Linked DNA regions of Elephas maximus indicus. The protein of the gene in region 1 binds, or shares a complex with, the protein of each later gene. Links are inferred from orthologs where the notes say so. Each region holds a gene or a part of one and is shown on either strand. Other genes may lie near its edges. The genes, in order: AP1G1 and AP1S1.

Evidence for each region.
Region 2: the proteins of AP1G1 (region 1) and AP1S1 are in contact, whole or in part, in a crystal structure (PDB 1W63), measured with the Mus musculus proteins. The link is inferred for Elephas maximus indicus from reciprocal best matches to the Homo sapiens genes AP1G1 and AP1S1. Residues at the interface, in NP_001288140.1 of Mus musculus: Leu7, Arg8, Ile11, Arg12, Arg15, Leu54, Tyr55, His57, Met58, Gly60, Tyr61, Lys78, Phe79, Thr80, Arg83, Ile84, Leu87, Met90, Leu91, Asp94, Glu95, Thr115, Phe117, Leu123, Cys124, Gly127, Cys128, Tyr152, Lys155, Lys156; in NP_031483.1 of Mus musculus: Met1, Leu14, Arg15, Leu16, Gln17, Lys18, Trp19, Leu21, Ala22, Thr23, Asp25, Arg28, Lys29, Arg42, Lys45, Met46, Cys47, Ser48, Phe49, Glu51, Lys56, Gln74, Asp75, Asn76, Glu77, Leu78, Ile79, Leu81, Glu82, Leu83.

What each region holds. Positions count from the first base shown.
Region 1 is NC_064839.1:38,633,319-38,649,380, reverse strand, and holds the start of AP1G1 (AP-1 complex subunit gamma-1), read right to left. Parts: upstream 7,471-16,062; 5' UTR 7,116-7,470; intron 1-7,115. UniProt on the Homo sapiens protein: Subunit of clathrin-associated adaptor protein complex 1 that plays a role in protein sorting in the late-Golgi/trans-Golgi network (TGN) and/or endosomes.
Region 2 is NC_064830.1:92,564,510-92,581,323, forward strand, and holds AP1S1 (AP-1 complex subunit sigma-1A), read left to right. Parts: upstream 1-10,490; 5' UTR 10,491-10,575; coding exon 10,576-10,578; intron 10,579-12,609; coding exon 12,610-12,788; intron 12,789-13,402; coding exon 13,403-13,511; intron 13,512-14,552; coding exon 14,553-14,690; intron 14,691-15,968; coding exon 15,969-16,016; 3' UTR 16,017-16,741; downstream 16,742-16,814. UniProt on the Homo sapiens protein: Subunit of clathrin-associated adaptor protein complex 1 that plays a role in protein sorting in the late-Golgi/trans-Golgi network (TGN) and/or endosomes.

The DNA.
Region 1 (16,062 bases):
GTAGAAGTCCTAGTCTGAGGAATTAGGCAAGAAAAATAAAAAGTATCCAAATTAAGAAGGAAGAAGTAAAACTATCCTTTTTTGCAAATCACATTATCCTATATACAGAAAGTCCCAAAGAATCCACAAGAAAGCTACTAAGCTAATACTAAACGAATTCAATAAAGTGGTAGGGTACAAGGTCAAGACAAATCAGTTGGGTTTCTACATACCAGGAATAAGCAATCTGAAAAAGAAACTTAAAAAAAAAAAAAAAGAATTCCATTTACAACAGCATTTAAAAGAATAAAATACCTAAGAAAAAATTTTACCAGGGAGGTGAAAGATTTGCACATTGAAAACTATAAAACATTGCTGAAAGAAATAAAGACTTAAATAAGTGGAAGGACATTTCATGTTCATGGATTGGAAGGCTTAATATTGTTATGACGTTAATACTACCGAAAGCGATGAAGATTCAATGCAATCTCTACCAAAATTCCAACAGGCTTCTTTGCAAAAATGGAAAAGCTAATCCTCAAATTTATACGGAATTTTAAGAGGCCCTGAATAGCCAAAGCAATCTTGAAAAATAAGAACTAAGTAGGAGGACTCACACTTCCCAATTTCAAAACGTACTATAAAGCTTCAGTAATCAAAACAGTCTGGTACTGGTATAACAACCGACATACAGACCAATAGAATAGAATTGGGAGTCCAGAAATAAACCTATACATCTAAGGTCAACTGATTTTCAACAAGGGTTATAAGTCCCTTCAAAATAAAATAAGTCTCTTCGATAAATGGATTTTCACAGGCAAAAGAATGGAGCTGAACCTGTACCTCACATCATACATGAAAATTAACTCAAAGTGTACCAACAACTTAAAATCATAAAACTGTTAAAAAAAACGAAGGAGTAAAGCTTCGAGACCTAGTTTGCAACAATGGATTCTTAGATATGACATCAAAGGTATAAGCAACAAAAAATAAAACAGACACATTGGACTTCATCAAAATTAAAAATTTCTGCATCAAAGGACTGTATCAACAAAGTAAAGAGACAACCTACAGAATGGGAGAAAATGTTTAGGAATCATATACTAATAAAGGTTTATATCCAGAATATATAAACAACTTCTACAATTCAACAACAAAAAGACGAACAACCCAATCAAAAAAATAGGCAAAGGAAAAATGGACAAATTGCAGCTGATTCTTAGTAGTTATGTTCTGAAGTCACTGAGAACACTAGTGAATACTGAACGAGTGCTTTACTGGAAATACAGGGTTAGGTTCCTGTGAGCATCTGGCCACATTTTAATCAACCAATCAATACATGACCTTGTATTATATGTGTTTCTGTTTAAAGACATTTAATATATCCTGTTGATTCCTTAACATTGAACTCACAGCAAACAGCACTATAACTCATACCTGAAGGAAGCTTATCTCCATAAGCCACACTTAGGAACTCGAGATAGCACTTCAGCAATATGCTTGGGCACCATTTTAAACAGGAAAGTCACCCACAAAAAGCACAAAAATGAGATAAATGTGGCACTAAATAGACTGGAAAAAGGACAGTTGTTTACAGTGGGAGATGAAACATGAAGGCAGAGTGCTACCTTGCTGAAACTCGGACAGGAACACAGGCTATAGGGGACTCAAATATTCACTGTTGCACAAATAACCACTGAAGTGTTATACAGTACTGATTTTGGAATTACAAATAAATTCTGGCAAGTGGACTGGGGGAAAAAAAAAGGGCAAAGGACTTAACAGATAGTTCACCAAAGATTTACAAACAGCCAATTAGCACATGAGAAGATGCTCAATGAATTAGAGGAATATGCAAATGAGAAAGAGCCAGATTTCTTGGTTGTTACTTAAAATTTCTGCGTAAGAGTTTGAGTAAATCACAAAGAGATAAGGATCATCTCAGGTTTTGGACCGAACAACTAAATAATATCTTCAAAGATTTGGAGACAAGGTTTTGTATGTTTTTTAAACCTGAAAATAAACTTCACTGACATCAACTCTACCAGCCACAAGTAAATGACTATAATAGATTCCCATAACTTAGTCAGGACCCCAAATGATTTTTGACTCTACGATTGACCAATTATAGCATGCCTGAGTATCTGAACAATTTCTCCACATTATTTTCATTCATATTATCTATTCTGCTGAGTGAGTACCAATAGCCAGGTACCGTGCTATGTAATAAAAAAATCCATTGCTGTCAAGTCAACTGTGACTCACAGTGACCCCATAGGACAGAGGAGAACTGCCCCATAGGGTTTCCAGGGCTGTAATCTTTATGGAAGTATACTGCCACATCTTTCCCCTAGGAGCAGCTGGTGAGCTCGAACCGCTTACCTTTCGGTTAGCAGCTGACTGCTTAACCACTGCACCACCAGGGTTCCTTTGCTATGTACTAGAGATATCATAAGAAATGAGATAATTTTTCCCCTTTAGACTGCTCAAGAAAAAACAGACAATTTAACAAGTACTAAAAAAAAAAAAAGGTGCTACACCCCTTTGCCTCGGGGTACACATGAAGGAAAAATAAGTTTACCAGGTGAAAGGGAGAAAAAAGCATTCCAGGTTTAGGTGGAACCTGTACAATGCGAAAGTAAAGAACATGGAGTAGTCAAGGAACAGCAAAAAGTTCAGTGTGCATAAATAAAAACAATACAAACAAAGGCTAGTAAAATCAAAGCGTAAGCTACTTCCTTGTTCTACTTTCTTAAAAAGCCAACACTATTTATTAAGCTTTCATCATGGAAGTTTTCTAAAGAAAATACAGCGTCCGTGCCCTCACTGCTAGAGACAAATACACACTTAATACATCAAAAATGTTTTCTGATGTTTTTGTGTTCTATCAGAAAACTAGCCTCTTTTCTTGTTTACAATAAGGTTTTTTCCTTCAATAATCATACCAAAAGACTAGTATCTACAAAGATTCGATTAACTCTGGTAGTTCTCCCAACTAGCCATCTCAAACTAATATTTTCACCATACTTTTAAAATTTGATGCTTTCAAATTTTTCAAAAAATAGAAAGTGAACCAAAAAAAGTAATATAAGAATTAACTTCCCTCCCTTTTTCTTCAGCTTGGTACTGAACAATTTTCCAATAGTGAAGTTTAGTAAATAGCATCACTAAATTAAGCTGTAGAAACACTAATGGAATTCCTTAAATTTTGAGCTGTACAACTGCTGTTCAATCATTTATAAAAGCTGGCTCTTATAGCCAAATATTGTACATCTATTTCTTCTACAAGTCTTAACTTTAACCCAAAGGCTTTTAAGAAGGGGAATACTAAAAGTTATTTCACAGTTCCTAAGTTCATATCTTTCTCTTGTTTGTTATTTCCAAGAATCCAAAACATTAACTTAAAGACAGACAAGATGAAAAGCCTGGGAATCTCAGTATAACACACATAGAACCAGACACAGTGAGTTGAAGTTAGCAAAGCAACTGGACATCAGGTTACACTGTGACTTTCATACTGTAAAAAAGGAGAAAGCAGGATTAAAAACCACTTGCCTTTAAAATGTCTTCACTTACTCAAAAAGTACAAAGGTCACATATATTTTCCCCATCTTTTAAAAAACTAAGATTTTTTTCTTCCAAGCCTATTTAATTTTTCATTGATGATGTTTATAACTTATTATCTTTACCTCTCCAATGATCCAATTAGGCTTAAAAAAGGCAAAACTTCCCAGTACCTAGCGAAAAAGGCACTTCTCAATTTAATCATATTATCACAAACCTTGCCCTTTTATACCAAAGTTTCAGTTACTGCAACTCAACAAGTTTGGCAAGTGTAGGTATTTTCACTTCTGGACCCTTCAAACCTTTTGACGGGAGATTATTCTAGCAACCAGAACTTATGCCAGGTTGTTTTGTGTTACTCCTTCAATAAAGAAAAAAACCTTACATGTATTTTCAAGGTAGAAATTACACCTTTCTCCCTTTCTCTTCCCTGCCTTCAGAGAAATCAAATTTCCTACAACAAAAAGGCAACTCGAAAAATTCTAATACATTCTGACAAACATGATTTTCAAAACCTATAGCCAAGATAATACGGGAAGTTATATAAATGTATGTTCTCTTCATTTTAAAATCGCTTGCTTGCTACGTTAAATATGATCCTATACTACGTGAAAGAAAGTGAATAAAGGCAACATGAAAAAAAGTCAAAATCAATAATTGAAAACAATTCATAAAGCAAAGAAAGATTAAATTAAAGCACCAAAAACAGTTAAACAAGTTGGTGCAGTTTGAAGACAGGTAATAGTTTTATTAGATTTTCTAAAGCTAAATCTGAGAGTTTATAACCTTTGATATTAAGTCCTATTGTATACACAAAATTTGATAATCCTCATCCAATGCAAAAAGGGGATTAAGCATCTCAAAAATCTGTTTTGGTATGCAGTTTCTCAATTCAACTTTTTTAATTAAAAATAGTCTTAATGGTTTTGGAAAATGACCGTTCAACATTTAAAATTTTGTATAAAGAGTTTTTATAAGTCACAAAAACTTTTTTCTTAAATATATCATTCATTGTCAAGACTTTTTAAATACTGAAATATTATAACCCAGGCATTGCTGGCAATTTCTGTACTTTAGTTTCACTCTAAAATTTGCCACCAAACCTAGAACTTCAGTGAAAAAAATCAAAAGAACAAGAAACTGTTCCCAAAAGAAAATGAACTGAGGTTTCCTAAACATTAATGTTAATTTCAAGTGTAATCCCAACAGCCTTGGACAAAGTGATATTCAACTATATGCTGATCAATCAGTGGTGCACTAAACAGTCCTTAAAAATTTCCAAGGCAAAAGAACACTTTCTTCAATTGAATGCAAATCCCCAAAGAATGAATAACATTTAAATACCTACCAGTACATTATACCACGAAATGAATGGAGTTAAATAACACCTGACAGCTCCTGCAATATTTTGCTTTAAAAGTGTAACTCAGAACATTTTAGAAGAATCTGTAAGGGACAGTTAGTGAAGGAGTGAGCATTCCATAGGTGTTCAGTGTTTGACAGTTCCTTTAACCATGAAACTCCATAGCTTTAGAGTAAACTACGCGAACACTAATAACTCACTGATATCTAGTAGTAACTAATACATTTTTGAAAAATTCCCTTAAAACAAATAAGTTAACAAGACCAGTGAGTCTTTACAATGAAAACATTCAGTATTCTACTGAGGCGTCATGTAAACACAGTTCATCTATAATCTCATTTCAATAACTTGGCAAGAATAATGCACTTACGCATTAAAAAACTCATTGCCACTGAGTCGATTCCGACTCATAGTGACCCTAAAAGACAGAGTAGAACTGCCCCACAGGGTTTCCAAGGAGTGGCTGGTGGACTGGAACTACTGACTTCCGGTTAGCAGCCAAGCTCTTAACCACTGCACCACCAAGGCTCCACCACCAAGGCTCCACTTATAGAGGTATTAAATACATATATTAGAGGTACTAAAAATATTTTGATTCAGTTCAAGTTATAAATTCAAATTTCAGCAGTCACCAGACTGTGATCTTAGATAAGTAATCTCTTTTAAAAATGTGAAAACCCAAGCTGAGACGTGAAATAGTGGTGAATACATATAAATATTAGATATTAAAAAATGTGACTCAATTCAAGTTATAAATTAAAATTTCAACAGTTACTAGACTGTGATCTCAAATAAGTTATTTTACAGATATAAAAACCTAAGCTGAGATGTGAAATAGGGGTGATTGAATCAGACTCACCTAACTTGAAATGTAAGAAATAATCAGTGAATTGCTATGAAATGCTTTTATTCACGCATGCTACCCTGCAAACATATTTTAGATGCAGAGTAAAAGTAGTGAAATTACACTTATCTGGAAGGTCTGTATTTTTCAAAACAAAAGCTAAGGTGTATACTGAGAAGAGCTTAAGTTAATGTTAAAAACCCAACACACAAAGTCAATACGAGTATTTTCTAATTGACCAGTTTTTTTTTTTTTACAACAGAGAGGAAAAAGAAAAGTCAATGAACCATTTCTAGAGTCAGTGAGAGAGATCATTTCTACACAATACACCTAAAAGTTAAAATTACTAAGAAATCTTCATTCACTCCTCCCTTCTGTTGACTAATCCCTACAGCAGCCAAAAAAGTTACTCTCCTTCCTAACTACATCAGATTACTATTTTTCTTCATAGGCAGCTTTCCATTCCCAGGTATACGTTAACACCAAGAAAAATGTACAAATGTCAATAAGCACCAAAAAGCTAAGTGCTCAGCAAAAGAGGGTAATCCACCAAAAAGAAAATATTTGACACCCCCTACTTTACACACACACAAAGCCATTTAATTTGCTTTATAAACATTTACTACTGAAGTACACTTTGAGCTGGTGCTTTGATGGATCTTCTACAGCCAGCCCTAACAGAGCTCAACCAACCGTCCCAACTTTTTCAGGCAGTCAGAAAGATCGGGAGAATTATTAAAAACTGACGTCCTCAAGACCAAGACTTTGAGTGAAGGATAATCGGTATACGCGCAGTTTAGTTTGAAAAAAAAAAAAACATAAAACGGAGAATTGAAAAAGACGGTCGAAAGGTTAGAGGAAGGCGAGGTCGATGTCCGGTTCAGGGAGGACGGCACTGGAGGGACAGACAGCGATTAACTGAACATTTGAATATGCTGAGGAGAGTTCTGTGAGACACCTGACCCGGGTACAGATACAAGAACGCTGATACGTGGCTCTGTGAAGACACGCGGGGGTGGAGCCCGCCCCGCTAAACCCCAGGCTCCCTGAATGGAGTCCTCAAAGGAGAACCGCAGACTACGAAAGTCAACGGGTTCATGGAGGCCCGCACCGATCCGGGTACGCCAAAGCCAAAGTGCCGCCGCGCGCAGAGCCACCGGGTCCGATGCCTCAGGGGCGGCCCTCAAGAAGTCAGAGCAGCCCTTGGGGTCCGGGCCCCTCCTGGCCCAGCCTCTGTCCTCTGTTCTCACCCCCCACAGACTAGAACCGGACCCCTGGGCTTATCAGGAAGCTTCCGGTCGAGGGCTCGCAGCAGCCGCTGGGCAATAGAAGCAATATACTCTCGGCGCCGAGAGTGACACTCACCGGCCCGAAACCTCGAATGAAACCAGCAGCTCCGGGGGCGGCGGCAGCAGTGGCAGCAGGAACCGAACATCCAAAATGGCGGCTTCCTCGCCTCACCACCGCTACCGCAGGCGGAGGGATCCTTAGGAGGGACGGAGTTTTAACTAACTTCACACACTATTGCATAAACTTCGGGTTCCTATCCTCCTCTCCTTATCGATTCCGCACCCTCTAACTGCAACCTTTTGCGCCTCTCTTCTGCTATTATCCAAGAATCTAGACGTCGCCGAGGACTATTTGCCACGGAGGAAGCGACTGCCCCTGGCCGAGCGACGCGAAGCGTAGCAAGGTTCGGGGCTGTCACTGATGACGCGAGACGCTGCTGCCGAGTCACCGCTGCGATGAGTCTGAACAAGAAGGATCCGGTCAACCCCGGAGCTGACGAACATTGGTTCCGCTTTGTGGGGGGAGGGGGGAGGGAACGGGTTGGGCTAATGGCACCTGAAGGGGGCGGGGCTAGGTAAAGTAGCAGAGGAAGTGAGAAAGGAGAGGCAGGTAAGGGGTGGAGAACCCCGAGCCAAATCATAATCCACTGAAATCCCAAGCTCTTTCAGATCACCTCTGCATGAAGAGTTAAAGGAGGACACAGTACCATCATTCAACCCCTGCATTGGACAAGTCATTTAAACTCTGTGGGCCTCACTTCCCTCTTATGTAAAAAAAAAAAAAAAAAAAAAGGATTAGGCTAGTGATAAAACCTTTCCAGACTGGGCTTTCTGTGTATGTCTTCATGAACTAATAACCTGAACCATAGGAAGCCCAACCAGACAGTTCCTGGCTTGATAAATAATTACTAACACCTGACCAAGAATATTTTCCATGTGAACATAAACAGTGTCATGATATCTTGTCCTATTTAAAGAAAAGGTGACCTACCTAGACTAAAACTCTTCGGTTAGATTGGAGATAAAGTGCCCCCCAAAGTGAATAAAGCACAGCACCCGGCTGGATGCACCAGTGAACCGAACTAATCACAAGCATTGAGTTTAGGACCTGAGTGTCATTGGAAAGAGTTTGTATTTTTTTTTTTTTTTCTCCCTTAGGCAATCATTTTCAGGGGGTTCAAAACACTGCAAAAGATGAACGGGGTAGCCCATCTGTACAATTTTGTCCTTAAACTACCGGATCATGCAAGGTGGCTGAAATAGTAATAATAGTAATCATCTTTTACCATTATTAAATATCGCTATCACATTGTTAACGAAGCACCTTCATATGCATATGTATTTTGACCCTCCCGACAACCGCCTGAGTCAGGCTGGGTAAGTGTAAGTAACTTAGTTGTATAAATAAGGAAACTGAAATTCAGACACTGACTTACCAAAGGATCCGCCCCTCCTTTCTCCCCTATGCCGCTGTAGTCCTGCTACCAAAAAACCAAAAACCCTTTGCCATCGAGTCGATTCCGACTCATAGCAACCCTATAGGACAGAGTAGAACTGCCCCATAGAGTTTCCAAGGGGAGGCTGGTGGATTCGACCTTTTGGTTAGCAGCCCAACGCTTAACCACTGCCCCTCCAGTGGTCCTACCCTGCAAATTGGGAAACAGTAACCTCTCGTCGTCCTCCCCGCCCCCCGCCCCGTCCCACCTACACACACACAGTCTCTCTCTGTCTCTCTCTCTCTATCTCTCTGTCTCTTTCTCTGTCTCTGTCTCTCTCCCCCCCCCCCCCCCGTCTTTGTGTCTATCTCTGCCTTTCTCACGGTGGATTTGACCCAAAGCAAATAGTTTAGGGAGTGGAATGCTTTTGGAATTCAGCACCCTCTTCTGCAGGAATACCATATGATGCCATACCTGGGTTTCTCTGAGGTATAGCTATTCAAGAAGGAAGGTGCTTTATTCCACCAGGCCAAATGGCAGACCATTAAAGAGAAAATTGCAGACATTACAAAATGGAGACCACTCCAAGCTTGTTTGTTTTTTTTTTTTTTACTTGTATTTCACAATATTTATAATTACCAAACCCCTCCTTCATACAACTGAAAATTAAAAGCAATTGGCCCAGTATATAAAGGGTCTTCATTATCCCAGGATCTTTGGTTTCCCTGGGCAGTGATTAAAGTCTGGAAAGGTTTATTCCTCATCTTCTCAAATATAATCCCTAATCCCAGATAAATAAATTACAGAACTTCCATAAAATGGAATATTATGTTGCCAGTGAAAACAACTATAGCTCTATCTTTATCACCGTATGGCAAATTTTTTTAAATAATATTACAAAAAAGTATTATAAAATGAGCTTGTAAAAACTACATATGCATAGAAAGAAATTTGAAGGATAAAACTACAACACAAAAATAGCTATTTTGGGGTGGTGGGGTTATAGATGATTTTCACTTCTTTACAATTTTTTTTTTTTTTTTTGCTGTTTTTGGTTTTGGTTTTTGTGTTGCATCAAGCATACTGTACTTTTATAGTTGGGGAAAAAAACAGACTTTTACACTTTGAAAAAAATTCTTAAGATAATGAAGTTTTTCAGATCCAAATGCTAAAGATAATTTTTGTTTTTAAAACACCAACAGCCTAAGAAGATTTAACAAACTTCTAGGAATAGAGAATGGCTGGGAGAAAACATCATTGTTTCTATGATTTTGTTTTTTATTGATAACTTACGTGCTTCAATTTAACAAATAACAACTGAAAAAGCATTGGCCAGGAGTCAAACCACTTGGGTTCCAGTCCTAGTTCGGTTTAAGTAACTTCCTGCTCTGAGCAAGACATTCAATATCTACGGGTTATGGCTTGCCTTGTTCCAAAATAGATTTAGAGAGGTGGCACAGTGCTTAAAAAAGCTTGGCTGCTAACCAAAAGGTTGGCGGTTTGAATCCAACAGTCACTCCTTGGAAACCCTATGGGGCAGTTCTACTCTGTCCCATAGGGTTGCTGTGAGTTGGGATCGACTCAACCACACAGGACAACAACAACTACAAGTGACAATAGCACAAACGTATGCTGTCTTACAGTTTACAAAACTATTTTCATATACATTGACTCATTTGCTGTTCACCCACCATGGGCTTGTAAAACACATGGGCGCTATTGCATAGTGGTTAAGAGAATGGGTTTCTAGCGATAGCCTGCCTGGGCTTAAAACCTTGTCCTTCCACTCATCCTTGTGTGACCTGCAGAAAGTTATTTAACATCTCTGAACTTTCATGAGCCTCTTTCTCATCTGTTAATGAGTCTTCCTCCAATCCTGATGCCCCGTTCTTCTTCAAATAGTCCAGCTTCTCAGCCTATTTGCTCAGCATACAGATTAAATAGGTATGGTGAAAGGATACGATCCTGACACACACCTTTCCTGACTTTAAACCATGCAGTATCCCCTTGTTCTGTACGAACAACTGCCTCTTGATCTATGTAAAGGTTCCTCATGAGCACAATTAAGTGTTCTGGAATTCCCGTTCTTTGCAATGTTATCCATAATTTGTTATGATCCACACAGTCAAATGCCTTTGCGTAGTCAATAAAAACACAGGTAAACATCCTTCTGTTATTGTCTGCTTTCAGCCAGGATCCATTTGACATCAGCAATGATATCCCTGGTTCCACATCCTCTTCTGAAACCAGCCTGAATTTCTGGCAGTTCCCTGTTGATATACTGCTGCAGCCATTTTTGAATGATCTTCAGCAAAATTTGTTTGCATGTGATATTACTGATATTATTCTATAATTTCTGCATTTGGTTGGATCACCTTTCTTGGAAATATGCATAAATATGGATCTCTTCCAGTCAGTTGGCCAGGAAGCTGTCTTCCATATTTCTCGACATAGACGAGTGAGCAACTCTAGCACTGCATCTGTTTGTTGAAACATCTCAATTGATACTCTGTCAATTCCTGGGGCCTTGTTTTTCGCCAATGCCTTCAGAGCAGCTTGGATTTCTTCCTCCAGTACCATCGGTTCCTGATCATATGCTACTTCTTGAAATGTTTGAACATCGACTAATTCTTTCTGGCATAGTGACTCTGTGTATTTCCTCCATCTTCTTTTGATGCTTCCTGCGTCATTTAATATTTTCCCCATAGGATCCTTCACTATTGCAACTCGAGGCTTGAATTTTTTCTTCACAACTGGACCAATGAGCAATATCACGATAAACGGAGAAAAGACTGAAGTTGTCAAGGATTTCATTTTACTTGGATGCACAATCAACACCCATGGAAGCAGCAGTCAAGAAATCAAATCATTGAGTAAATCTGCTGCAAAGGACCTCTTTAAAGTGTTGAAAAGCAAAGTCCTTGAAGACTAAGGTGCGCCTGACCCAAGCCATGGTATTTTCAATTGCATCATATGCACGTGAAAGATGGACAAGTAAGACCGAAGAAGAACTGACTCCTTTGAATTGTGGCATTGGCGAAGAACATTGAATATACCATGGACTGCCAAAAGTACAAACAAATCTGTCTTGGAAGAAGTACAACCAGAATGTACCTTAGAAGCAGGGATGGCATGACTGCATCTTACGTACTTTGGACATGTTGTCAGGAGGGATCAGTCCCTGGAGAAGGACATCATGCTTGGCAGAGTACAGGGTCAGTGGAAAAGAGGAAGACCCTCAATGAGGTGGATTGACACAGTGGGTGCAACAATGAGCTTAAGCATAACAACGATTGTGAGGATGGCACAGGACCAGGCAGTGTTTCGTTCTGTTGTGCATAGGGTCGCTATGAGTCGGAGCTGACTCGACAGCACCTAACAACGACAACAACATTCTTATCTGTAAAATGGGGTTAATAATAACATCAACATCTTTAAGCTGGTGTAATGATGAGCTGATACATTTAAAGCACTTAGAACAGTGGTTGGTGAATACAAAGAGCTCAATAACTATCGGCTCTCTTTAGAGCAAACATTATCATCCCTATTTTAGAAAGGAGAAAACAGAGGCTCAGACAAATTAAATGATTTATCACACTTTCATACAGCAGAGACTAGACTCAAATCTAGACCTTCCAATTTTCAATATGCTTTTTTTTTCTAGCCCAGTACCTGCCAAATAGTAATTATTTCAATTAATATGCTGCCTGATTCTTTCCTGTCCTGTGTATACCAGAATCTATAACAGACATTTCAAAAGAGTCTGTCCCTACCCCCCAGAAAATTATAATCTCACTGGGGAAAATTAGATTTTTTTTAAAATCCACAAATTACAAATATATCAGCAATACTATTACTCAGCAGATTAGTAAATTCTAGTACAAAAAGACCAAAAACGAGAGCTCGCTGGAAGCCAGAGCAGTCAAAGAGGGCTTTTGGAAGATATAGCATGTCTGTTGGAATCTGCGGTACTAGAGAGGGTTCTCTCTCTTGGGCTTAGGGATGCAGTGGAGTTCTTAAACGACTCATTAGTATCAGCAGCTGAAGCCACATGACCTTTACAGCAGATGAGGAAGGCTGTCTCTGCAGAAATGCGGTCAGCATCTTTCACAAGGAACTCTTCCTGCCTCTCCACATGCCAGAGACCTCAGCCCAGAAAGGCCACTGAAGAGGGAGCACATCTCTGTAGGAAATACAGTGATGCGAGTCAAAGAGGCAGCTCCACTGGACTGTGTTGTTATCATCTGAGTCACCCAAATCCATAAATAGTCCCTCTGCTGTTGTTTATGTAAGGTTTTCAGAAAAAGCATTTTTACAACCCTTTTAAATATGGCCCCTTGTCACAATTTATCCTGACCAGAGAAAAAGGCTTACGAATTAATCCTTCAGTTATGACAACAGCCAGCAATAATGTGAAAATTAAAATTCCAGTAGGCAATTCCATACACTCTTTGACCATCTCCCAAGAGCATTAAGAAATACATGTTCCCTCAAAGTGAAGACCAAAGCCCAGAGGATGTGAGGTTCAGCCAAGCTCCCTCTTTGCTTTAGAGAGGTTTTAAACAGCTTTGAGTGCTACCTGAGATGTTTTATGTCATAATGTTTTTTTGTTTGTTTGTTTTTCTTGTAGAGTGGTTACAATTGGTTTGTAAATGATTCTGTTGTATGTCGCACCTTTGGAGTAAAAAATATCACCAGGTTTCAGACTGGAATCAATTCAAACCCTAAGTTGAGGAAATGATACTAATCTCTTGTTAAGGAAGACAAAACTGAGGCCCCCAGAGGAGGATAAGCCACCCAGAAACAGAGCAGGACTACTGACTCATTGTTGTCTACTTAGTAATTTCCTTAATGTGGACACCACCATTTGCCTAGAAGGATCCATGGTAATTTGTTTCCGTTGGCCTTTAGGTGCATTGCCCCATTCTTGTTCCTCTAAAATCAGTCCTACAGTTGCTTTAAAATTGGCCCAGGAAGTCCAAGAACTGTTGGGACATCTGAAGTAACTGGGGCAGCCAATCTCTGGTGCCAAGTTCAGGAAACACCAAACTCCTTCTCTGCCAAGCCACTCACGAATGCCAGAGGATGGCCTAGGGCTTGAGCAGGTGCCAGTAGGAGATCCCTTACTCCTGAGGAGGGGCTGCCAGCTTGCTAGGCAGGGTCCCTGGTCCTGGTTTGGAAGATCCTCCCTTCAACCCTACATTCTTTGAATAAGTTTTTGCTGTTGTTTTTTTAATGGGGGCTGGGGGGGATCCAAGAATGGAATATTGAACATCAAATTGATTTTTTAAGGAGAGAGAATGGTTTACAGGTATCACTTTTTCACATACAAAGGGGTCAACATAAACCCTCCTGGACACATAAAATAGAATTCTGAAATAAATACTTAACATAACCAATAATTGCATTCTGAGAAATTAATTTGGCCATTTTATTTTCTCAGGCTTTCCTCTCTTCAGTTTCACAGTTGTTGTTGTTAGGTGCAGTCAAGTTGGATCCAACTCACAGTGACCCTGTGTACAACAGAAGGAAACACTGCCCAGTCCTGTATCATCCTCACAACTGTTGCTGTGTTTGAGACCATTGTTGTAGCCACTATGTCAATTCATCTCGTCGTGGGTATTCCTCTTTTTCACTGACCCTCTCCCTTCCCAACCATAATGTCCTTCTCCAGGGACTAGTCCCTCCTGATAACATGTCCAAAGTATACAAGACGACCTCTCGATATCCTCACTTCCAAGGAGCACTCTGGCTGTACTTCTTTTAAGACACACTTGTTCATTCTTCTGTCAGTCCATGGTATATTCAATATTCTTCACCAACACCATAATTCAAAGGCATCAATTTTTCCTCCGTCTTCCTTAGTCATTGTCCAGCTTTTGCATGCATATGAAATGATTGAAAATATCATGGTTTGGGTCAGGCATACCTTAATCCTTATGATCATTAAGGTTGTGTGTCAACTTGGCTGGGCCATGATTCTCAGTAGTCTGGTGGTTATGATGTAGTTTGGCAGTCATATGATGATGTGATCACTTCCATGATGAGATTTGATATAACGTGATCACCTCCATGATCTGCTGTGAGTAGACAATCAGTTGAAAGAGAGTTTCCTTGGGGGTGAGGCCCGGATTGAATATAACAAGTGGACTTTCTGGCAAGGCTTTTCCTTGCTCTGGTTCCTGCAGCTAGCTCTTCTTGTCTGACCTCCAGTTCTTGGGACTTGAGCTAGCAGCTTACCTGCAGTCTTGCCTGCCGATCTTGGGATTCATTGATCTTCGCAGCCTGTGAGCAAAAACCCTGCTGTTTGACCGGCTGATCTTGGATTTGCCAGACCCTGGGGCTATGTGAATCAGGAGAGGCCTCTATTCAATGTCCCACCGACTTGGGACATTACAGCCTCTACAATCCCGTGAGCCATTTCCCTGCTACAAATCTCTCTCTACATATATTTATACACTTTACTGGTTTTGTTTCTCTAGAGCCAGCCTAAGACTGTGCTCAAAGTGACATCTTTGCTTTTCAACACCTTAAAGAAGTCTTTTGCAGCACATTTGCCCAGTGCAATACATTGCCTGACTTCTTAACTGCTGCTTCCATGGGCGTTGATTGTGGATCCAAGTAAAATGAAATCCTTAACAACTTCAATCTTTCCTCCATTTATCACAATGTTCCTTACTAGTCCAGTTGTGAGGATTTTTGTTCTCTTTATGTTGAGGTATAATCCATATTGAAGGCTGTAGTCTTTGATCTTCATCAGTAAGTCCTTCAATCCTCGTCACCTTCAGCAAGCAAAGTTGTGTTATCTGCATATTGCAGGTTGTTATTGAGTCTTCCTCCCATTCTGATGCTGCCTTCTTCTTCATGTAGTCCAGCTTCTTGAGTTATTTGCTCAGCACACAGATTGAATAAACATAGTGAAAGGATACAACCCTGATGCACACCTTTCCTGATTTTAAACCATGCAATATCCCCTTGCTCTGTTTGAACAACTGCCTCTTGGTCTATGTACATGTTCATCATGAGCACAATTAAGTGTTCTGGAATTCCCATTCTTCGCAATGTTATTCATAATTTGCTAAGACCCACATAGTCTAATGCCTTTGCATAGTCAATAAAACGCAGGTATCGGTCTCAGAGAATAACTAATATTTAATACACTAGAACATAGCAAGTAACAGAAACTGAACAGAAAACTCTTTATTGAGTACTTACTAAGTGCTAAGGAATTTTACATATATTATTTCTTTTAATCCTCATTATTGTCCACATTTTAGAGATGAGAAAACGGAGGCACAGAGTTAGTAAGTGGCAGAGTCTAAATTTGAACCCAGGTATATAGGATTCCACTTATTTCCTGGAAATACTTCTTTCATTTGCTGTCAGTGTTTACACTTCCTTTCTTGAAGATAGCCTTTAAAAAAAAAAAAAAGATATTCATTCCTCTAACTTCCTAGCTCTCTCACACACATACGCCAAAAAGCTTACAAAGCTAGTAAGCGTAGGGGTGGGATTTAAATACATGCCAGTCTGCTTCCATGGAAAAAAAAAGAGAAAATTATGAAAGAAATAAGAATCGAAGAAATA
Region 2 (16,814 bases), on another chromosome or scaffold:
TGAGGTGATGGTGGCCCACTAAGGGGATTGGATATTTTGATAATAATGTAAATAAGGTGCATGGCATCCTTGTAGGGGTGGGATCATGTAAGTAAGGTGTATGGGACCCTAATGAGGGGATTGGTCAGTTGTGCCATTCTGTTAGGCTTAAAATTAACCATCCCAGAGGGAGGAAGGGAGGATCTCACCATTACCAAGAAAGAGGACCCAGGATCCCTGAAAAGCTCCTGGAACCAGAAGACCAAGAGAGAGAGCTGTAACACTGAAAATAGCAAGAAGTGGCAGCAAAGAAATGGTGGCCGCAGAGGCAGGAGACCAGCAAGAAATGGCACAGTGGGCTGCCTGGCCCATGTAGCGAGAAAGCTAAGCACCTTTGGGCAGAAGGCTTGCTGGCAGAGTAGGGTGCCTCTGGGCACCTGATGGAGCTAGGTTTGCTGACCCACCAAGCTAGAGCTGAGTGCCTTTAGGCCGAGGCTTACTGGTGGAGTGGGGTGCCTCTGGGTACTTATCGGAGAGGCCAAGAACCAGAGAAAAGGGTGCCTGTGGCATAGCTGAGAAGAGGCTGTCCTGATCAAAGAATTGTATTCTGAGCATTCCTAAATGTGAATTGTAACCTGTTACTTCCCTAATAAACCCCATAACTGCGAGTATGGTCTGTGAGTTCTGTGTGGCCACTGCAACAAATTATCAAACCCAGCAGAGAAGTAGAGGGCCACTGGAGGGATGGCTGGTGTCAGAATTGGTAAAAAGGTTGGAGAGAGGAGGTGTGTCTGACCCCCGCCTCATAGAAATCAGCCTTGGGCTGTTGATCTTGATTCTCCTTCCCCTTTGCGAAATTAGACGAGGAGGTTGGTCACCCCTGCCACGCCATTTTTACCATTATGATAAATGGAGAAAATAAGTTGTCAAGGGTTTCATTTTACTTCCACAATCAACACCCATGGAAGCAGCAGTCAAGAAATCAAATGATCCATTAGGCAAATCTGCTACAAAAGGCCTCTTTAAAGTGTTAAAAAGCAAAGATATCACTTAGAAGACTAAGGTACACCTGATCCAAACCATGGTACTTTCAATCACTTCATATGCATGCAAAAGCTGAACAATGAATAAGGAAGACCAAAGAAGAACTGATGCATTTGAATTACGGTGTTGGCAAAGAATACTGAATATACCATGGACTGCCAGAAGAACGAACAAATCTGTCTTGGAAGAAGTACAGCCAGAATGCTTCTTAGAAGCAAGGATGGCGGGACTTCATCTCACGTACTTTGGACGTGTTATCAGGAGGGGCCAGTCCCTGGAGAAGGACATCATGCTTGGTAAAGTAGAGGGTCAGCAGAAAAGACAAAGACCCTCAACAAAATGGATTGACACAGTGGCTGCAACAATGTGTTCAAACATAGCAACGACTTTGAGGATGGCACAGAATCAGGCAGTGTTTCGTTCTGTTGTACACAGGGTTGCTATAAATGAGAACAGACTGGACAGCACCTAACAACAACAACAACCCTACCCTTATCCATAACCCCAAGCCTAGCCCGAACCTTAATCCTAAGCCTAACTCCAAACCATAGGACTAGTTTCATTAGGTCTCTACAATGAGGCCCCACAGACCTGTCGTGCTAGGGTTTGATTCTCCCCCTGGGCATCATCCTCAAAAAGGGAGTCCGTCAAACACCCTCCACCCAATCAGATGGGCCTGCTCACAGTCACTCTCCCTCTGGGTATCCATCCCTGTTCATGTCATTTCCTTCCACCCCCAAATGCCACCCCTACTCCCCACCTCTCAAAACCCAAATCAAGTTCTATTTCTCTCCACCTAAGATTTTCCCTTGAATCTAGTCAACATCATCACCTTTAACTTGATATTTAATTACTTTTCTTTTTCCTGGTTTGTAACAATGCCTGTATTCATGCATGCCCTTTACCTTTGTACACACCTTACCCTACCTATCCCCACCAAGATATCAGGTTCTTTGAAAACAGGATCTTTTATTATATGTACACTGGATATCCTCTTCAAAATGTCTTCCTAAAAATTATTTTATTCTCTTCTTCCGGTATCTTAAAGGCTGCTTGCAGAAGACATATCTCCCTCAATTAGTTTGTTCACATATTCCAAAATAAAATTTTAAACTGAAAAAATACCAACAACTATCCATCAAAACTGTGCTGTCCCACTCCAGAATCCTCAAGATAAAACTGATAGATACTATCAGCAGAATTCTATTCCAGCCCTCTAGATACCCAGGTCATCTTAAATAGAAACTAATTATCTTCGGGAAGTTCTTGATCAAAACACTGTCCGGTAGTTAAGAGGTAGTGAGTTCTCTGTCACTGAAAGGGCCCAAGGACAGCCAGGATTAACATGTGGTGAACATGTGTCAATGATCAGGGTATAAGACCAGATGAATTTCTTAAAATGATATACAACACGTGGAAACCCTGGTGGCATAGTGGTTAAGTGCTACAGCTGCTAACCTAAAGGTTGGCAGTTCGAATCCACCAGGCGCCCCTTGGAGACTCTATGGGGCAGTTCTACTCCGTCCTATAGAGTCGCTATGAGTCGGAATCGACCTGACGGCAACGGGTTATACAACATGTGCTCCTAGCAAGACATTCAAACAGTTCAAAAAGGGTAACAGTGGGAACTTGATAGCCACCTTCATGTTCAGATTCTTGGGTGTTTTTGTAGAACTTTACTAAGCATTTACAAGCATATACAAAATATTCTTTTCTTTCACACAAACAAGGTCATACTATGTATACTGTTTTGCAGCTTGCTTTATTCATCTAATAATACATCCCAGACACCTTTCCCTAACTCTTCTTACCAGCTGCAGGTAAAGATGTACTACATAATTTCTTAAACACCAACGGTGGATATTTTGGTTGTTTTAAGGTTTGTTTGTTTAAATTCACTTTATTGTAACCACTTGCAGATACAATGGTCCACTGTGATGAGCTGTACCTCTAATACGCATGGGTTAGACACAGGAATGTGTTTCAAGTGTTGTTGTTACCAACCGTGCTGAGGTGGGCATCCTTGCACATTTATCCTGGTACCCACGTTTCATGTACCCACAGGGTAACTCCCCAGCAGTAGGACTAAGTGTCTTCGAAGAAACTTCCAGTCCTGGAATGATGTGAATCTGATAACACAAACGTTTTCAAGTGGTGCAATCAAAAGTGTTCATTTTACCTGGTTACAGTCTTACCTTTTCTCAAGCTTAGATGAGCCTTCACAACTTTCCCAAATAAACCACTGCTGTTGAGCAAAGGCAGATTTTAGACCTTGAACTAAAAGAACTTTCACATTATTTTTTCCTCTAAAATGATGTTAGGAGTTCCCTGGAGCAAATTCTGATCATAATGTTTTCAAGAATAAATCCAGAAAATGTATTCACGACATGCATTTGTCAAAACCCATAGGCCTGGACAACATAAAGAGTATCCCCCGATGTCAACCATAAACCAAACCAAACCCATTGTCCGTGAGTCGATTCCAACTCATAGTGACCCTATAAGGACAGAGTAGAACTGCCCCATAGAGTTTCCAAGAAGCACCTGGTGGATTGTGAGCAGCCAACCTTTTGGTTAGCAGCCCTAGCTCTTAACCACTACGCCACCAGGATTTCCATAGTCTTTAGTTAATAATAATGCATCAATATTCTCTCAGTTGTAACAAATGTACCACAGGAATGCAAGTTGTTAGTAGGAGAAACAGTGTCCATGGGGAAGGAGCCATACGGGAACTCTGTACTTTCTGCACAATTTTTCTGTAAACATAAAAATGCTCTAAAAAATGAAGTCTATTAAAAAAAATAAAAGAAAGAAAACCATTAATAAGATCTGTCTCCGGCCATCATTGCTGCAGATTTCTTATAAATCTTTCACAGTGGAATTATTTATCTGCACGCAATAGTATGAATTTTATCAACCCTCAATGGTAAAAAAAATATTCTAGGAAAAAAAAAATTCTAGGCATCAGAATGAAACTTGTCAAGGGGACCATCTGTTTTCCAAGCCATTTTTAGGTGGTTCCTCAAGTTAGCTTCATTGTACTAAGAGTAGGGATGAGAAAACAAAAGCAAAGAGAAGTTGAGTAACTTGCTGCCATTATTATTACTTAACAGCTCCAAGAGGCAGTTGGCTCCTGTCTGTGCTCTAAGCCACTACACTTCACTGCCTCTCTTTGTGGCACTTGTGACCATGGGTCTCCCTGAACACACAGAGGGGATCAGATTCAGCTGGAGCAAAGGTGCTGCACCCATTGGCCAGTCACCAACACATTCTCTGTGTACACCACTGCCTTATGAGCCTTAACACCGGCCTCCTGAACTCAGTCTTTTATCACCTAGCCACCAGGTGTCACCTTGACTCCAGTGGAAAGCTCTTCTCTGATGCAAATCAGCTGTGGCTTCTACCAAAATCTTGCCAAGTTTGAACTCCATTCAATTCACCAAGTATTTATTTATAATCCCAACTTTATACTGGGTACCAAAAAAACCCATTACCATCAAGACGATTCTGACTCATAGCAACCCTACAGGACAGAGTAGAACTGCCCCATAGAAGTGCCTGGTGGATTTGAACTGCCATCCTTTTGGTTAGCAGTTGAATTCTTAAATACTCCACCACCAGGGTTTCCATACTGGGTAGTGTGAAGCATTAAAATAACAACAGACCAAAAGAACTAGATGGTGCTCGGCTACAGCTAATGACTGCCCTGACAGGGAACACAACAGAGAACCCCTGAGGGAGCAGGAAAGCAGTGGGATGCAGACCCCAAATTCTCATAAGACCAGACTTAATGGTCTGACTGAGGCTGGAAGAACCCCAGTAGTCATGGCCCCCAGACCTTCTGTTGCCCCAGGACAGGAACCATTCCCAAAGCCAACTCTTCAGACATGGATTGGACTGGACAATGGGTTGGAGAGGGATGCTGGTGAGGAGTGAGCTTCTTGGATCAGGTGGACACTTGAGACTATGTTGGCATCTCCTGCCTGGAGGGGAGATGAGAGGGTGGAGGGGGTTAGAAGCTGGCAAAAAGGACATGAAAAGAGAGAGTGGAGAGAGAGAGCGGGCTGTCTCAGTAGGGGGAGAGTAATTGGGAGTGTGTAGCAAGGTGTATATGGGTTTTTGTGTGAGAGACTGACTTGATTTGTAAACTTTCACTTAAAGCGCAATAAAAATTATAAAAAAAATAAATAACGAGAGAGAGAGAGAAAGTGATGAGCCTTACCATCAAGTCGCTGCAAAAATGACTGAATGAAACCAGGTGCTGGGGGCAACGTGAAATGGGGAATATTAAAAAAAAAAAAATTGAATGAAACACTGTAGAAATGATTGCTATAGTCTAGATTAGAGTGTAAGGGCTTATCAGAGCCTGCTTCACAGAAATCGTTAAGGATAAATAAGATGAATTTGAATCTGTGGAGAGGGAACGGTAGGGCATTCCAGAAAACAGTATCACAAAGAAAAATAATAGCAAAGCAAGTTCATAAGACAACAAGACGATGAAGTCCAAGTCCCCGGGTTTTCAGACTGCTTCCTCCCTCCTCCAGTAACATAACCAGTTCTCCCTCACAGTCGTCCACACACCCTCTCCTAGTCTAGTGGACCAAGTCTTACATATGCCCCTTGAATAAAAAAGACTATGTTTCTATGTTACTCTTCATGTCCCAACGTGTGAACCCAAGAAAAAAGGCAGTGACACTGATCACAATAGGAAAATAGGAGATGGGGTGGTTTCTGGGGAAAGTGGGAGGAAGTGATAACTCTTTTTTGGCAAGTGAAGTTTGAGGGGACAATGGAATTTCCAAATGGGGGATCCAGTATGCATTTATCCAACAAGTATCATGTGCCTGCCGTGCGCCAGGCACTGTGCTAGGTACAGGAGAAACAGCAAAAGAAGATAGTTTATCTTCTAGCAGGAATATATATATATAATACTAAAAGACAGAATTAGAACTTAGCATGCTTTCCATGAGAAGTAAGATTTATATATCTAGATTTGTGTTATGGATTGAATCATGCCCCCCCAGAATAGGTGTTGTAAATCCTAACCTGTATGCTTGTGGCTACAATCCCATTTGGGAATGAGTTGTACTTGTTATGCTAATGAGACAGGATTAGTATCTTGAGTCAATCTCTTTTGAGATATAAAAGAAATTAAACTCAAGTCAGCAAGCAGAGATAGGGAAAGAGATGCCAAGCCACAGGAAGACAGCCCAAGAGCAGAAGCTTAAAGAGACAAGGGCCTTCCTGCAGAGTGGACAGAGAAAGAAAGCCTTCCCCTAAAGCCGGCGCCCTGGACTTGAACTTGTAGCCTCCAGAACTGTGCGAAAATGAATTTCTATTTGTTAAAGCCACCCATTTGTGGTATTTCTGTTACAGCAGCACTAGATAACTAAGACAATTTAATAACATCTAAATAGATCATAATGGAAGCCAATCAACAAGCACTATGCTGAGTGCTATAAAAGAAACTAAAGATGTATATGACTCCACCCACAAGAAGCTTACAATCTAGTCAAAGAGACAAGGCATACTCACATATGCAATCAATGGACATCATGGCATGATAATGAAGTTAACCAGTCAGGGTTCTCAGTTACAAGCAACAGAACCAGCTCTGGAAAACTAGCGAAAAAGGAAATGATTTCCTTTTTTTTCCAGCGAAAAAAGAAATCGGGTAGCTCATGGAAATGCCAGGAGGGCCAGAGTACTAGGTTGGAGGTCTCACACAAGGAACAGTGCCCCGAATCATACCTTCGTCTTCATCCCTACACCTCACTAGACACAGGACACGGCTACTGGCGCCACTCCACTGCGGTCCTAGGGACTCGATGCTCCGACCCTCTGTCACTCTCCTGTCAATTGCCCCATCCCCACCTCATTCTCTCCTGGGCCAAAGTCTGGGAGATGGACAGATGGGCAGAGCCCAGCAGACACGCCCATGCTGTGGCTGCAAAGGAGGCTGTGAAAGTGAGTATCTGAAATTTTCAGATGCTACAGTGGGAGGTTGTTCTATCTCCCTCTGGACTCATAAAGTGGGGATTTCCAAACTCTAGAAACAGGGTTTTTAGAATCTAAAAAAGGTTTAGAATCTAGGAGATGAAAAAGAATGACAAACATCTACCACAGAAAGTATTCAAATGCTCAGGACTGAAAGGAACAGTATATAGGAAGGTATGAGTTCAAACAAACAAACAAAGATCACTGCAAATGAGTTCATCAGGGAACTATGAAAGAATGGACCAAACATAGGTGCAGAGAACATCACAGGAGAGAGAAACACAGATCATAGACTCATAAAGATGGAAGGGCTTCAGAGGCCATCTGGGCCACCTTCCAGCCACCACAGGAACCACCTTATAACCAGATGAGGGAAGGCATGTGGAAGTGTCAGCACGGTCATGGGGAGACAATACAAATTCCATCCCCACCTATAAAGGACAATCTCACCTCTCCCATATTTTTCCGTTCATAAAAATGGCACCACTAATCCTCCAGGCTCGTCTTTGATTCTTCTCCCTTCTTCTCTATTTAGATGAGTTATCAACTTCTGTTGACTGGCCCACTGCAAGTGTCTCTCTAATTTATCCTTCCATTTCCTCTCACGCCTGGATTACCAAAACTGCTCCTATACGGTCTTCCAGCCTTCCATTTGTCCTTTCAAATTGTCCCACATATTACTGTAAGACTGATTTTCCTAAAAGTGTCTTTGCCAAGTTATTCCCCAGCTCAGGTGACTGTAATGACTCCCAACTGCTTACTGCGTCAAGTTTGAACTCATCTGCAGACAAAAGCTATTGGATGAACAAAAGGTATTGAATCTACTAACTTACAGATCCCCTACAATCATCGTGTACTAACAATGAACAAACCTAGTCGTCATCTTCTAACTAGTTTCACCCGCTTGGATTCTATGATTCTACGTGAGCAAAGCCCTTGTTTCTAACAATTTCCCATGAGTCTTTTCTGCAGCTAGGCATACCACATTAAAATGAGGAACTCTAGAAAGCGTTAGCTTTCTAAGGAATGTAGGAGTTTACATCTCTAGAGCTTCCAAATTTGCACAAGCTGTTGCCTAGCTCTCCACTTTGTCTTTACCTCATTTCTCCTTACTTCCTTGTTTGCAACCTCCTCCCCTCTCCCATGAGCACATTTCTTTTTATTTGTTTTGCCTTCTGTCCTGCTTACACATAACGATCTACCCTTTCTAACTCTTACAACTTGTTTTATTAATGTTACTTTTGACCTAATAAATAACACCAAGATACTTCAGCCAACATCTATGCCATTGGCAAGCCTAACGCATCAGCAGAGGAGAAAGGGAAATGAAAAAGAAAGGAAGAAGAAAACACAAAAGAAAGAGGAGTGTCTTACTTATCTATTCCTGCTATAACAGAAATACCGAAAGTGGGTGACTTTAACAAACAGAAATTTATTTTCTCACAATTTAGGAGGCTAGAAGTCCAAATTCAGGGCAGCAGCTCTACAGGAAGGCTTTCTCTCTCTGTTGGTTCTGGGGGAAGGTCCTTGTTCTTTGGTTCCTTGGAGATCTCCCTGTGGTGTGGTATCTATCTTCCCCCAGCTCTGCTTGCTTGCTTGTTTAATTTCTTTTATATCTCAAAAGAGATTGATTTAAGACACACCCTACACTAACACTGTCTCATTAACATAACAAAGAAAACCCATTCCCAAATGGGATTATAACCGCAGGTATAGGGGTTAGAATCACAACACATATTTTGGGGGGACACAATTCAATCCATAACAAGGTGGGAATGGGAAATAATGATAATAGCTACCATTATCAAGTTTACAATATGCTAGATAAAAAAAAACTTTCTATATATTATCTCTAATCATAAGAGCAACCTTGTAAGATAGGCATTGCTACCCTCATTCTTAAAATGAGAGATGGAGGGATACAGATTAAATGGCTCACCTGAGGCTATACATCTAATAAGGGTGAGAGACAAGATTCCATCCCAGATGAATTAGCCCCACCCCATTGTCGCTAGAGCAGAACCGCCATAACAAAGAACCAGAAAAAAAAAATTAAAAAATTAAGTGGAGACATGTAAGGCTTTACCCACAATTACTTCAACTGCTACTAAAACATAATAGTATCATCTGTTGCCAAGAATTATCTAGAAATACCCATTAATTTTTCAGCATGACAAAATTTAAAATGTTCTCCTAGGCTTAAGATAGATAGCTGCTGTTGAGTTGACCCAAACTCATGGCAACCTCACGTACAACTGAACAAAATGCTGCCTGGTCCTTCATCATCCTCATAATTGCCATCATGTTCAAGCCCATCATTGTGGCCATTTCGCCAATCCATCTCACCCACTGTCTCCCTCACCCTTGCTGGCCCGCCACCTCACACACCATGATGTCCTCCTGAAGCAATTGGCCCCTCCCAATAATGTGTCCAAAGCAAGCGAGTCAGATAATGATCTGTTGTGCTCCACAAGGTTTTCATTGGCTAATTTTCAGAAGTAGATTGCCAGGTCTTTCTTCCTAGTGTGTCTCAGTCTGGAAGTTCTGTTGAAACCTCCACCAGGGGCAAGCCTGGTGGTATGTGAAACACCAGTGGCACAGCTTCCAACATCACAGCAATGCACAAGCCACTGCAATTCCAACAAACTGACAGAAAGCAGTGATGCTATCCTTACAGAGCCACCCCTTTTCACCACCACATAAACACACACACACAGACATGCACAGGTGTGCACACTCACATATACACACACATCCTCAGTTAAAAAGCTCATCTTACAATCTGCACCCTACTCATCTTTACACATATGTCTGGTTACGTCTGTCCCTTTTTAGTTTTGATACATGCTAATCTTTTTAAAAAAAAATTTTTTTTATTAAGGTTCCCTTTATTCTCCCCCTTGAGCCTTAATTTCCCTTCATGTTTCTCTCTCTTCCTTATATCTCTTTTAATATGAGCCTCACCTTTTCTCTTTTATCATTCCCCTCATTTCCTCACACTTCTCTTACTTGAAGAGAATGTTGCACCTAGCAGGTTCTCAGTGGATACTAATTTTGAGCTTTATCTTTGTCTTCCTGCCTCCCTGATCATTCCTCTCCCCCTACATCTAGTTCCCACCCTGCTCAGTCTCAATTGCCCACGTTCCTTCCATTAGTTCTCCTTGCTTCCTCACAAATGCCAATGGTCGTCCCATACATTTCTCACGCCTTTTCCCGCCTTTTTCCCCCAAGGTTCTATAGCGCGAGGACTCATTGTCTTCCTCCCACATCCTCTAACCAACCTACAAGACAGCCTTGTTACCATGACGACAGAGCTACTCAAAGCTGAAGTCAAGGACCTGGTTGCCATGGCTCCCGCTTGTCCGCCTCCAGCCCCTCCCGCGCGCCCCGTAGCGTTGGCGCCTGCGCAGTAGGCAACGCGCCGGGCCTCCGAACTTGGGCGGGACAAGGCGGGGCTTCAGCCGAGAGGGAGGGAAGAAGAAGAAAGGATAAGACGGGAATAGAGCTGGCGCCTACGGTGGCCGAAGAGGGACGCGCCGAGCCGGAGGCTGCAGGATGGTAGGCTGTGCGAAAAGGGAGGGGAGGGGGGAACTGAGGGGCGTGGGCTGCACCTGAGGGGGTCCTTGGGGGCCGCCCTCTGTGCGAGTCGTTCTTTCTTCACTGTCGTCCTCAGAGACCCTCCTGTATCTGGGCGGGTGGGCGAGGCGGCCTCCGAAGGAATTCCTGGGAATGGCATTCGAGAGGAGTGGGGAGGAGGCGCATTTGCTGGGCGAGAGGGGGCTGATGTGGGGACGGCGGCACCGGCGAGACCGGACTGAGCCAGGAGTGGCCGGGTCTCGGTCCGAGGGGTGCCGACCCCTGCCGCCGGGAAGTCGCCCGATGTACAGGGGCGCGGGGGTCTGCTCGTGGAGGGAGGGAGGAAGGGACTGGGGGCCGCCGGTCGTCAAGACCCTCTGTTCTCGAGCAGCCCAGAGAGGAGCGGCGGCCGGTGGGGGAGAGCGGGTGTGGGAGGGAGAGTTTCCGGGTCCGAGGAGGGGACGTCCTGCCTCGCTGTATCGCCATGCTCGCCTGGGGGCAGCGGTGAGGCGGGGAAGCGAAGGGGGCTGGAGCTTTGGCTCTCAGGGACCCAGGCTCTGAGCTCCTGGGCGCCGCTGCTTTTCGCTCTCCGCCCCCCTTCCCATTCTTTTTCCGGAACCCAGGCCTTCCGTCTTCCTGCTCGCCCCACCGCCCCCATCATAGACGCGCCCCGCTCCCTGGCGCCCCTCTCTTCTCCTCCTGCCACAGTAACAGTACTTCCTCTTCCCTACCCCCGAAAAGCCTAGTTCTCGCCTGGCCTTGAATTCAGATTTCTAGCCCACTGTGCCATACGCTAAGGAGCCCTGGTCGCTCAGTGGTTAAGTGTTCCGCTGCTAACCGAAAGGTCGGCGGTTCGAACCCACCAGCTGCTCCGTGGGAGAAAAATGTGGCAGTCTGCTTCGGTGAAGATTTACAGCCTTGGAAACCCTACGGGGCAGTTCTACTCTGTCCTATCAGGGTCGCTCTGAGTCGGAATCAACTCAACGGCAGTGGGTTTCGTTTGGTTTGGTGCCATACACCCAGGGATTCCAGACCTGGTATTGTCCACAGAGAGGAGAGCTGCTGGGAGGAGGAGATGAATCTGGAGCTAGGAAGCTGGAGGTGCACTGGTAGTGAGGGCTCTGCTCTCCTCTGCAGTCCACCCAGCTTGCTCTGTGCGCCACAAACATTCCCAGGTAGCTGTGTCCTCACTCAGGGACCCAAAGAGAGGTTAGTCATCCGGGGTCTGAGAAGTGGGCGCTTAGCAGAAGACAGCCCTAAAAGGCAGAGATGCTAAGAAATCAGAGGCCAAATATCTGGATGACTGCAGAGAGAAGAGGGTGGAATTTGGGATCCCAATACTATGTGCCAGGAGAAGGATAGGACTGGCACCAGAGGGCAGGGTGTTTGGGACATCAGAGAGGACTCATGGTTAGGATGGGGTGGAGAGTAGAGGTAGCTTGTTGAGGGGCAAAATATCCAATTTCATGGTGGTGATGGACAGAAAGAACTTGGAAGAGACCAACCATCTCTTTAGCATCTCTTTAGGGGCTTCTTGTCATGATGCTGGGCATTTTACTTATCTTTAGGAAACAGGAGGTCAGGAGATAATAATTATAGTACTTAACACATTACAATGCTTACCATGTGCCATGCACTGTCGCTAATACCAACTCATTTAATCCTTCCTAAAAATTTTGTAAGGTGGGCACTTTATGATCTCCATCTTACAGATAAGGAAATAGAGGCCCAGAGTCATAAAGGAATTTACCCAACACCATACCCAACTCGTAGGGTCTGGACTTGAGCCCAAATGACAGGCTGAGAAGCTCTGACTTCCCCCAGAAGGACAGGTACCACGTGGTGTGAATACCCAGCATTGACAGCAAAGGGCTGGAATTTTTAAGAAAGCAGGAGCTGGAGTGGAGAAGAGTTAGACGGGATGAGTTTGGGACTGTGTGTTTGTGGAGGGAAGAAGCTCAGAGGAGCAAACCTCTGACCCTCAGCTCTGCTCCCCCTACCCCCCCCCCCCAGATGCGATTTATGCTGCTGTTCAGCCGGCAGGGGAAGCTGCGGCTGCAAAAATGGTACCTGGCCACATCCGACAAGGAGCGAAAGAAGATGGTTCGGGAGCTTATGCAGGTTGTGCTGGCTCGAAAGCCCAAGATGTGCAGCTTCCTGGAGTGGAGGGACCTCAAAGTCGTCTATAAGAGGTGACACATCACCTACTGTCAAAACTGCCTGGATCCTGTTCGATTAGAGTTTGGCAATGGGTTAAAGAGAGGGGATACTGGTAAACAAAGGGCCCCTTATGTCAGGGAGAACTGGGAGCTAAGAACATATCTGGACGTCACTGATTAACCCCAGCTTTCCTTCCTGCCAAACTCCTCTTGAAGAAACTCTTGTTCTCCACTTGATTTTGGTCAAGCACATACCTCTGTCCCTAGAGGCTCCATTTGGTCCACTGTGTGTATCCCTTGTAGTCTCAACAGTCATAGATCCTGCCCCACTTTCCCAACACACGCAGACACATGTACCTTATCCAGTTCCTTCTTTAAGCAGGTGAATTAGTTGGCTAATTTTTTGCTGAGTCAAACAACAGGTCAGAGGGCAAGAAAGAAAAAGTGTGTGTCTTTGCGTATGTGTGTGAGAGAGCACCAGGAGGCAGAGTGAGTTACCCTGTCTGTGTCTAGTGGAGGCACAGACTGGGCTGGGAATGAGGAGAAACAGGGGGTTTAAGCTCAGAGTGCCTGGGTCCTGAACCCAAAAAAGGGTCCTGAAGCAGCCTTCAATTCAGCAGCTATGGCTCATGTACCCCTCTCTCCAGATATGCCAGCCTCTACTTCTGCTGCGCCATCGAGGGCCAGGACAACGAGCTCATCACGCTGGAGCTGATCCACCGATACGTGGAACTCCTGGACAAATACTTTGGCAGCGTAAGTCACTCCACTCATCTGTTTCCTTACCCAACAATCTCCCCTTGCTACCAAATGCCAGGGCCCTTCTAGCTTCTGCCCTGGAAGACTTGGGAGAGGTGAAGTTGGAGCAGTGAGCACAATAATTAATCTCCCTTTTTAAGCCTTAAGCCTATTAGCCATGTACCTTAATCAGTCGCAGGGAAGGGGTGGGGGGAAGGTTTGGACCAGAATCTGTCACTTAATCTCCACATACAGCTCAGCTCAGACTACTCACACAAGGCCAGAGGCTATGTTCAACTTTTTATCAGTGGTTTCTGACCTTGACTACATGTTGGAATCTTCTGGAGAGCTTTTTGAAAATATTGATGCCCAGGTCCCACCCCAAGATTCTGAATTAACAGATCTAGGGCGTAAAGGCTTTCCTTGGAAACTCTATGGGGCAGTTCTACTCTGTCCCATAGGGTCGCTATGAGTCGGAATCAACTCGATGGCACTGGTTTTTTGTTTTAGGGTGTAACTTAGGCATCAACAGACGGCTCAAATCATAGATGGGGAATAGTAATAACTCCATAATTTGTACTCCACTTAACAATTTATGAAGTGCTTTTATGTCGTTCTCTTGTTTGCTCTTTCCTCTGTCTTATGAGTAGATGTTGTTATCTCTATTTTTGCATGAGAAAACTGAGATTCAGAGACATTAAGTGACATATACCGCTAGCTGGATAATGGCACAGCCCTGCCTGGAACTCAAGTCTTCCACCCAATTGTCCAGAATCTCCTCTTCTTCTGGTGGGAACAATATTGCAGTTTTGGCTGGGAAAGGCAATAGGAACCACAGATGAGGGTAGACTAGGGCAACTGGTATTTCATGATCATGGAGAAAGAGGCAAGCGAAGGAGAAGAAAAAGCAGCACCAACTACTAAGGACTGGGGTTGGGAGGACTAGGACCTGGGGCAAGAACCCAAGAGTGGTCATAAGAAAAGAAGTGGAGGGCTGGGGTAGAGGTAGGGGTGGGAACACATCTTGTCACTCAACCTTGTCTTCCCCCTCCTCCTCAGGTGTGCGAGCTGGACATCATCTTCAACTTTGAGAAGGCCTACTTTATCTTGGATGAGTTTTTGATGGGAGGAGATGTCCAAGACACCTCCAAGAAGAGTGTACTGAAGGCTATCGAGCAGGCAGACCTGCTGCAGGAGGTAGGGACCAGGGACAGTGAGGAGGAGGAAGAGCACCGACACTCTGCCTACTGGTGATGGCTGCCCCCTTCCCGCTGCCACTACCAGGGTGGCCTTCGTCCTTGTGGCACCTTCCCCCTTCCCTCTACTTAAGCCCTGACCATAGGGGTTGGGAAGCAGGGTTGGTAGACAACCCACCTGTGCCATTTCTCCTCTCAGTCCAGGTTCTGTCATTCTCCCAAGACCCGGGTGCCTTGTCCCAGGCAAATCTTTTTTGTTCCATACTTCTTTTGGTCTCAAGAGTTGCTCAGAAAATTGGAGAAGGGAACACATACGTGGTAGATAGCTCTTTTATTCCCTGGTTTCTTCCCCAATTTTTTTTTTTTTACCACACACATATTCAACAGCTTCTGCTTCTTAGGAGCAAAAGGCTGTGGGGATTTGGGGGCTGGAGTAGAGGCTGCCCGCTCTGCTGGTTCTCTCTGCTCTCTGCCCCCCACTCGCCCACACCCCATTACTGCCTGCCCCCTCTCTGCTTGCCACGGCTGAGACTTGGTGCAGGGAGATGAGTCACCGGAATCTGCAGTGACAAGCAAGTCAGCCTGAGCTGGCTATGAGGAGGGGGAGAGCTGGGGTGGGGGAGGGGGGCCGCCTCTCTGCAGGAGGAAAGGCAGAGCTGAACTTGCCACCTCACTGGTCCAGCTTCCCCATTTCTGTCTCTGTCTCTCTCCCCTTTCTCTCTCTCACACACGCACACGTACACACATGCCCTGGCATACATGCCCACCCCTGTTATTAGTGCTCTTCTCAAACCCTAATGACTCATCCCTCTACAGCCTGGTTCACCTTCCCTCGGGGACCTGAAGCCAACCTCTTACCCTACCCCCACACTCTGAAAAGGGGGGACCCAACCATGTGCCACCTTCCATTTCCCAGAAAGCAGTCCCAGCTTCGCCCCCCTGTTGCCCTCCCTCAGGTACTCAGGCTGAGCCCCTGCTCACCAAGCTCCTGGCTTTGGGTTCTTTGGGTGGTGGTGGTCTGACTCCTGGCCCCTGCCCTGCCATTGTTGGCTCTGGGGGTGGTCCTGGGAGGCCAACAAGCTCCCCTCAAGGGCTCCCAGCTGATCCAGACTTGGTTCACAGGCTCACATTGGCTTTTCTTTTCCCTGCCCTGTGTCTCCTCTGCTTCCTAACTCTGACTCCTTCCTCATGATTGCCGTTGTCTTGGCTACCCCCTCTCTCTTCCTCCCTGTCTGCCTCTCCTGGTGTCTCTGCGTCACCGTGTCTGTCTCTGCCTTAGGAGGACGAGTCACCGCGCAGTGTGCTAGAGGAGATGGGTCTGGCGTAGCCCCGGTGTGTGACTCGACGTGGGGCTGGTGGAGAGGCAGGGCGAGAGCGGCTGCTTCTCATCGTCTCTCCAGGCCCTTTTCTTGGTGGGACCCAGCCGCCCCTCTGCTGCCTCGCCTTCTTCTGGAGTGAGCTGCAGGCTCCGGACCCTCAAACATTCCCTCCTTCTGCCCCCTACCTCCTGTTTTCCCTTTTCCCACCCAAGGCTGAAGGAGCTAGGAGGTAGGAAAATGTGATCGAGATGGGGGTGCTCTTTGGATTTTATTTCCTGCCTTTGAAGAACTTCTCCAGACTTCCTCTCCTCCCTTGTAACTGTAAATATATAAATACGTCAGGTTAAAGGGAAATGGTTTGCAGGGTTCTTTTCTTTCCCCTGCCCCCGTACCCTACCTCTACCCTTTTCCCCCAGCCAGCCAGCCAGCAAGCTTCTCTGCCTGGGTCTGAGGCTGCTGAGTAGGGAGAGGGAAGCCCTTGCCCTCATCTGCCTCATCTCTGTGTGGCTGTAGTGGGACCGGGTCCAGGGCCAGTGGAGGAACAACAGAGTTAATTTTTTTCTAACCTTGCCACCTTGAGAGAAGGAAGAGTTGGAGGAAGGGAGAACTTTGTGGGAGACTGGGCCCTGTCCCTCCTCCCACCATGTTCTGGGTGAGGCAGGAGCTAAGGGGGTAGGCTGGGGGAAGTGTCTGACCTTATTTCTTCTGAAATAAAAGGAAAAACATTTCTGGACTTTGCCTTCCTTGGACTCTGTGGAGGAAGGCAGGACTGCTGGGATCAGCCAGGACCCAACATTGCCTATTCA